Oryctolagus cuniculus: one gene and its partner. The protein of the gene in region 2 interacts with the protein of the main gene of each other region in a pairwise test. Links are inferred from orthologs where the notes say so. Each region holds a gene or a part of one and is shown on either strand. Other genes may lie near its edges.

The links.
Region 1: the proteins of PGBD1 (region 2) and SCAND1 interact in binary tests that used the Homo sapiens proteins (3 or more experiments, as listed by UniProt). The two-hybrid records come from large-scale screens. The link is inferred for Oryctolagus cuniculus from reciprocal best matches to the Homo sapiens genes PGBD1 and SCAND1.

Annotation. Positions count from the first base shown.
Region 1 is NC_091442.1:22,296,010-22,299,484, reverse strand, and holds SCAND1 (SCAN domain-containing protein 1), read right to left. Parts: upstream 2,065-3,475; 5' UTR 1,332-2,064; coding exon 831-1,331; 3' UTR 732-830; downstream 1-731. UniProt on the Homo sapiens protein: May regulate transcriptional activity.
Region 2 is NC_091436.1:153,745,345-153,749,354, reverse strand, and holds part of PGBD1 (piggyBac transposable element-derived protein 1), read right to left. Parts: exon of another isoform or gene 2,998-4,010; 5' UTR 2,984-2,997; coding exon 2,588-2,983; intron 1,718-2,587; coding exon 1,573-1,717; intron 118-1,572; coding exon 29-117; intron 1-28.

The DNA.
Region 1 (3,475 bases), on a different chromosome or scaffold from region 2:
TCAGGAAATCCCAAGAAAGTATTCAAAGTACTTGTGAATCCATTTAAATGTTTTTCTTTATTCAAAAGCAAAATGCCCATACCAGCTTTTAGTCCAGTCTGGCTCATGCTTTTTGGTGCAAGCTGCAGATGGACTATAGTGCTGATTGCTGGAAGCAGGTCTCGCACCTACTGTGTTCAGGCCCTGCTGGGTGGGACCCGAGGAGCCCCTCCTCGAGTGGGCAGAGCCTCAAGAGAGGAGGAGTCCCGGTTAGCACAGATTTTCCTCCTTTCTTGCCAAGTTCTTTTCCCTCTAAACAATTAAGCTGATTAAATTAGGGGCCAGCTGCAGAGAAGTTAAAATGAATAGCTTCAGTAATGCAAACCATCCTTTCGTTCACACCAGCTCCTCCATTTAAACCCTACCAGGAGCCTAAAATTTTGCAGCGGGGGCGCTAAGTCTGGAGGCATAAACCAGAGTTCATCAAGAACTAGTCTCTCTGCAAGGTGTAAAAGCACATGGCAACAGCCCCGGAATTCGGGCCTTAGGGAAGGAAGGCAGGTTAGCGTCTACCCGCAGGACTCCACAATCCATCATCCAGGTGGTCCAGGCCTGGTCAAACATGCAAGGACCCCACAACAGCTAAGGCAGGCCCAAGGACTAGGAAATGGAGGCCTTCCGCGCGCTCCTGCTGGGAAACAGGCTCGGTGAAACTACCCCAATAGAAGACGAACGAAAGAGACACACCAGACCACGGGAGCTGCCAAACTCTATTTCATTCACAGAGTGGGGAGCAGGTTCTCGCCGCCCCACGCCCCACCCGCCACGCCCTGGGACCGCAGCCCCGCCGCTCAGCCGGTGATGCGCACATCGGCGCGACGACGCAGCCGCCGGGCCCGCGCCGCCTCGGGCAGGATGGCGAGCAGCTGCTCCTGCACCAGCATCTGCACTATCTGCTCCTTGGTGCGGATGTCGGGCCGCAGCCACTGGCGGGACAGCTCCCGCAGCTGGCGGAACGCCTCGCGGGGCCCCGCCGCGTCCTGGTAGCGGAACTGCCGGAAGCGCTGGCGGAACGTCTCGGGCCCGGGCCGGGAGCCGCCGGGGCCCGGCGGGGAGCGCGGAGCGGCCTCGGCCTGAGGCGCAGAGCCCAGGGGCAGCTCCAGGGCCGCGGGGGGCGGAGGACTCGCTTCCTTGACGGCGGGCTCCAGGGAAGGCGGTGAGGCCTCTAGAATGGAGGGGCCCGCGGAGTTACGCTCGGGGTCTGAGCTCGGGCCCGCTTCCTCCTCGCGTTTCTCCAGCGACGCCGCTGAGGGACTCCGGGCGGCCCCCAAGCTCGGCTCGGTCTCCGCCATAGCTCCGGGCGTCACTCTTTTGTCCAGCAGCCGTGGGCTCAGCACTGCGTCTGCGCGGGGGCGGGGTGAGGAGGGAGAGAGACGCGTCCCGCTGAAGGGCGACCGAAGAGGGAGGCGACTCGGGACGGGTGACGAGGGCGCGGAACTTACCTGCCCGCGGAGCTCCAGGCGCAGCCGGAAGCGGAAGCCTCGCGAGGCTCCTCTGTGATTCCGCGGTCGCGCGAGCGCCCGGAAGCCGAGGCCGAGCTTCCGGAAGCAGCGCCGCGCCGCGCCGCGGTCGCGAGGCCCTGGAGGAAGCGACGCGCTGGAGGAGCCGTGAGGTACTTTTAAAGGAGAGGGACCCGGGCTGCGGCCCCGGCAGCGCCTGGGCTGGCGGTGGGCGCGAGGATGCGGTCGGCCAGGCGAGGTGGTCTCGCGTCGGCGGCACCCGCCCTTAGTGCGACGGTGACAAAACCCGACCCGGTGAATGCTCTGCCGTCTTTTATTTTTTTGTGTGTCTTCTGAAGCCAAGCGACAGGCGGCTCTGAGGGTTTAAGCGTTGCGGGCTGGCAGTGCGTGGCCCGCGCGGTGGCCGCCAGTCACAGGTGTCACCTGGGCCCGTGAGGTGAAGCCGGTCCGCCTGGAGACGTGCTCCTTCGTAGGGACAAAATGCAAAACGCCCCAATAATCGTTTATACTGTGTACATGTTGGAATGTAACGGTTTGCCTATATGGGCTCAAATAAAATATGTTATTAAACTTAAATTCATCCGTGTCTTTTTACTTTTTAAGTGCGGCTATTGGGAAAATTTACATTTATATTTCTGCCGAACAGCACCGGGCTGGAGAGTGGGGGTCAGAGTGCCTTGGTGGAATCCCCTTTGCAAGGTTTATTATCTGGCAGTAATGGTGCCTACCCAGAGCTGTTGCGAGGATTGAATGTGGGAAGCCCCTGGGAAGAAAGGACTTTAAAATACTATTCTCATTGAGCAAGGTGTTCCTGTCTCTGAGCTACAGTTTCCTGTAAAACGTGGATGCACTAGCACCTACCTCATAGAGGTTATTGTGAGAATCCAGTAAGATTAATGTGTGTAAAAGTACGGAACTCGCAGCCCTTCTATGAATGGATCATGTGGGTCCACAGGCGACTCACAAATAGGCATTGTATCCCTGTTGTACGGAAAGGGAAACAGGCCCAGAGAGGGGCAGAGACCCTCGTTTGCCCCTTGGGTCCTTTTCAGCCCCATGCAGGAAGGGTGAGCGTATTCAACAACCGTCCACACACCAGTGGCCCTGGGATCAATAGGAAACCTGCCCTCTTGCAGGGTGACCTTGGATGGGAAGATGGAGATGGTCAGGGAACAAGTTCCAGAGCCTGAAAACCTTGGAAGCCATCACGTGGGTCTTTAATGGTTTTTTAGTTGTTGATACGTAAAAATTGGTAAATTTCATATGCAAATCTGGTTTTCCAGCTTTTCTTGAAAAAAAGTGAAAGAATTGGACTCATTCCCAGCAGAAGCTGAGTAAACTTCCTTTGACCCAGATGCTCTGTCTTGCCTGGTCCCGGTTCTTGCTGCTGCTCCCTAGTCTCTGAAACAATGTTTGCATTTACTCTTGCTCTCAGGCTGGTCTCCCCAGAGCTGGGGAAATGAAACTCCAGGTGGAGCTGGTGTGTGTTACACCTGCTTGCTTCACAGCTTCTCCTGACTGGCCCCTGACAGTTGGGTTTGCTTTCCCCAGTGAACCACGGTCCTATGCCCTGTGTGGGAACAAATAATCCAGCGTTGAGGGAGCATACAAACCCTGCTGCAAAGACAAGGAGCCGTGAAAGGCTTCCCAGGAGGGGGCCTTCAAGCTGAGCCTCAAGAAGAAAGGGTGGAGTTGGGGGGCAGTCCAGGCACTGCCTGCACCAGGGCACATAGAGAGGTAGAGACAGATGCCCTCATTCCTCATCAGAATTCCTAGGTTCAGTACCCAGCTCTGGCTTCCAACTCCAGCTTCCTGGTAATGTGCACCCTGGGAGGCGGGCTCAATAGCTCAAGTAACTGGGTGTCTGCTACCCATGCGGGAGACCTGGCCCAACTCAGGCTCTTTGTGAGTATTTTGGGAGTGAACCATCAGATGGGAGTTCTGTCTTCTGTCTGTCTCTCTCTGTTTCTCTGCCC
Region 2 (4,010 bases):
TTTCCACAAGCCTGGGCACTCTGCTCACCTGGAACCTGGATGGGTTTAGCTCAGGCACTGCTGTCTTGTCTCTGGAGCTTTCTTCCTGGAGAATGGCTGGTCCCTGAGGAGCAAACCCTGGAGAGCAAGGAGACAAGAGTCCTAAGTGAGACAAGATGACCTTTAGGAGTACCCTTTGTTGCCCACCCCGAGTCTCACATTTGCTAAATATCCAAACTGAGATGTGGACCTTACTGTCTCAAATAGAGCACCGCAGCTATTTTCACTGTGTCAGGGGCCTGAAATTCTACAACTTTATAAAGTCCCACCCACAAAACGGAGTGGAGTTTATAAACTCGTAGTAAGTGGATGCATTTTCACATACATAAAGAGAAACTAAACAATCAAGATTAAATAAAGAGGGGAAGAAAGGTAAAAAAGCTAAGAGCAAGCAGATAACACAGAATGGAAAGACAGGGAGCAGAGACAAGGCAAAGCAGATGTAGGACGTCTGGGAGCAGCAGCCAATCTACTGAGAGCAATTCCCACAGAGGGGTGTGACCAAGAGCCACAGCCTCTGCCCGACTCTACTAACAGCTGGGGAAATGAGTGCTTCCTGTGGAGTAGTACAGTATAACACAATATCCATTCCAGCCTATGCTTGAGCCACTCTGTTTTTTGGTAGAGTATAATTAGAACTGTAGAATAGAGACATGTGGTAGAGAAAGTTTTGGTCAAATGTTAGGAGATTAAAATTCAAGAGGTAGATTTGGCTCTGTTGACACCAGACAAGTCATTTAAATTCTCTTCTGTACAGTTTTCACAACTACTAATTTCTTTTCTTTTTTGGACAGGCAGAGTGGACAGTGAGAGAGAGAGAGAGAGAGACAAAGAGCAAGGTCTTCCTTTGCTGTTGGTTCACCCTCCAATGGCCGCCACGGCCGGCGCGCTGCGGCCAGCGCACCGCGCTGATCCAATGGCAGGAGCCAGGTACTTCTCCTGGTCTCCCATGGGGTGCAGGGCCCAAGCACTTGGGCCATCCTCCACTGCACTCCCTGGCCACAGCAGAGAGCTGGCCTGGAAGAGGGGCAACCGGGAAAGAATCCGGCGCCCCGACTGGGACTAGAACCCGGTGTGCCGGCGCCGCTAGGCGGAGGATTAGCCTAGTGAGCCACGGTGCTGGCACAACTATTAATTGACGGTATGAATAAGACCTTAGAAGTCTAACATTTTACAATTCCCAGATTTTAAAAGCCTGCTTAGATATAGGATGAGACAGAAAACAGAATGATGTTGGTCAAAGGGTACAAAATTGTAGTAAGTTCTGCAGATGTAACACATAATATGGTTATAGCAAATAACAACATATTGCATATTTGAAATTTGCTGGGAGGTCTTATGTAATATTCTTACACACACTCATGAGGTTAACTGTGAGGTAACAGACAATGACAACTTCTGGTAATCATTTCACGATGCATATAAAAACAGAAACAAAAACTTGAAGATACACACAAGTTTCTACTAAGAAGACATGCAGCTATTGGTGGCTTGGTCCCTCTGTCCTCACTAAACTCACCCTCTGGCACTCACCACTCACTTCTTGGGGAAGCTGTGGAGGTTCACACTTCAGGGTGGTTACCTCAGGCAACAGCTGGAGACCCTGACACTCCAAAGAGGTTCCTTGATATTCTGTTACCACTAGGTGCATGTCTTGTCCCTGAATGTAGAAAGAGGCCTGGAGACAAACGATTCACCTTGAAAAAGCATCCTAAAGGGAACTGGACTAAACAGCAGATAGGGATTACCACAAACTCCATTTAATCCTCTAAAGACACTACAAGTGGGATACAGGCGTTAATTTATTCAGCAAATATGGCCTGTATACCCACAAAGAGCCAGGCCCTGTTCTATGTGCTGGGGATGCAGCAGCAAACATGGCAGGTAAGACAGACAAAGGATCCTTGCCCAGAAAAAGAGACACAAAAAACAGACGGATGATAAACCAGTGTGTGAATGGGTAAGTACACTGTCTCAAAAGGTCTCCCACAAATTACTTAGGGAAGATGGTAATTTTCTCATGGGGAAATCTGTCAGATTCCACTGTAAACTCACCAGTAGTGGGATAAACCATTATGTTTGCTTCCTGAAGTGCTAAACTAAGGAGAATACATCAGCTCTATGACATGCTAGCCAAAATGTACAGGCTAGAACTAATCATGAGAAAATATAAAACAAATCAAAAACTCCAATAAAACAGGAGTACATCTTTCAAAAACATCAATGTCATGACAGAGAAAGACTGAGCAAATTCATGCAACTAAATGCAACATGTAATGCTAGCTTATATGCTGGATCAATATAATTCATTCTACAAACAACACTACTGGGACAACACACTTGAAAAGAGTATGTGCAGGACAGGGGAACAAACACAGCATGAAACAAATGTTAACAACCGGTGAATCTGGGTGAGGAGTGAACGTTATTTGTATTGTTCTCCCAATGCTTCTATAGGTTATAAATTATTTCTAAATAAAAAGTTAAAAATGAACAGACACACGTTTCCACTTCTTCTTCCACACCATCTCACACACTCCCTTCCCACCTGCTGTCCTGCGTCTGCACGTCCTGTCGCAAGACTCTCCAGCACGGTCACTGCCTCCTCCCCACTCTGCAGAGGATACATCTGCATCCAGGCCCGCAGCTCCTCTGGCAGGATGGTCAGGAACTGCTCCAGCACCAGCAGCTCCAGGATCTGCTCTTTCGTGTGCATCTCTGGTCTCAACCACTGACGGCAAAGTTCTCGGAGCTGTGCCATAGCTTCTCGGGGACCAGGTGCCTCCTGGTAGCAGAACTGCCGGAAACGCAGGCGGCAAAGCTCCTGAGTGTGGGGGCTGCCCTCTTGGGAGCTGTACCCCTGCTCCCAGGTGGGGTCTTCCACCTTCACTTTCACAAGGCCGTCTTCATTTTCAGGAGCAGAGCCTGGCAAAGCTTCATACATGTTGAGTTTAGAGGCTAGAAAAAGGTTCACTTATCTAAGGTCTATGCTTCCAGAAGTGTTTTCCCAAATACACATCTAAGGCATAGGAACTGATCAATAACATGTACATTACAAAAGCTTCAAAGCTGTGCAACTTAACTTATATCTTTGTCTCCACTGTAGGACGCACTCAAAAGCTGAGACTGCTTGCCTCTACTATTGGAGAAGCGAACCCTAAGTATTTCTTGAACACTAAGGGGTTGAACCCAGAGAAAAGGGATACAGAATGAGGGAAGAAGGGTTAACAAGAATGCTTGAGCCCCTTACACTTCAGCAGAGGAAAGGGGTCACTTTACTGGGGAAGACCTACATAGGTGTCTTTGTAGATGGATAATACAGTCCTGAAGTTCACTTATCTCTGCATATTGAGTATTTTAGTTTAAATGTTAGTGTGGTAGACTCTAAGTCTCCTATCCCCAAACACCTTTTGCAATCAGTTTTCCACTCACTCCTCCAGTAGGAGGCAGTCTATTTCTCCTTCCCTGATGTGTTTTAACCGATGAAGAATGGTAGAAATGACACTGAAAGAGAGAAAATGCCCCTATAGCTCTTGGCACACTGCCATGCTGTGAGGAAGCCCAAGCTGGCCATATAGAGAGTTCATGTGGATCAAAACCAAGGCTTCCAAGCTAAAGCCCACCTAGGCCTAGTGCCCAGATGATTCACCAGCTGAATGCAGCTATATGAGGATACTTCAAAAAGTTAATGGAAAAATGAAATTAAAAGACAAGAGACCAGCATTGTGGCACAGCAGGGAAAGCCACCACCTACAATGCCAGCATCCCTTATGGGTGGGGGTTTGTGTCCCAACTGTTCCACTTCCAATCCAGCTCCCTGCTAATGGCCTGGGAAAGGCAGCAGAGAATGGCCCAAGTGTTTGGGACCTGTCACCCACATGGGAGACCCAGATGAAGCTCCTGACTCCTGGCGTTGGCTTGGCCAGCCTGGGCCACTACAGTCATTTGGGGAGTGAACCAGAGGATGGAAG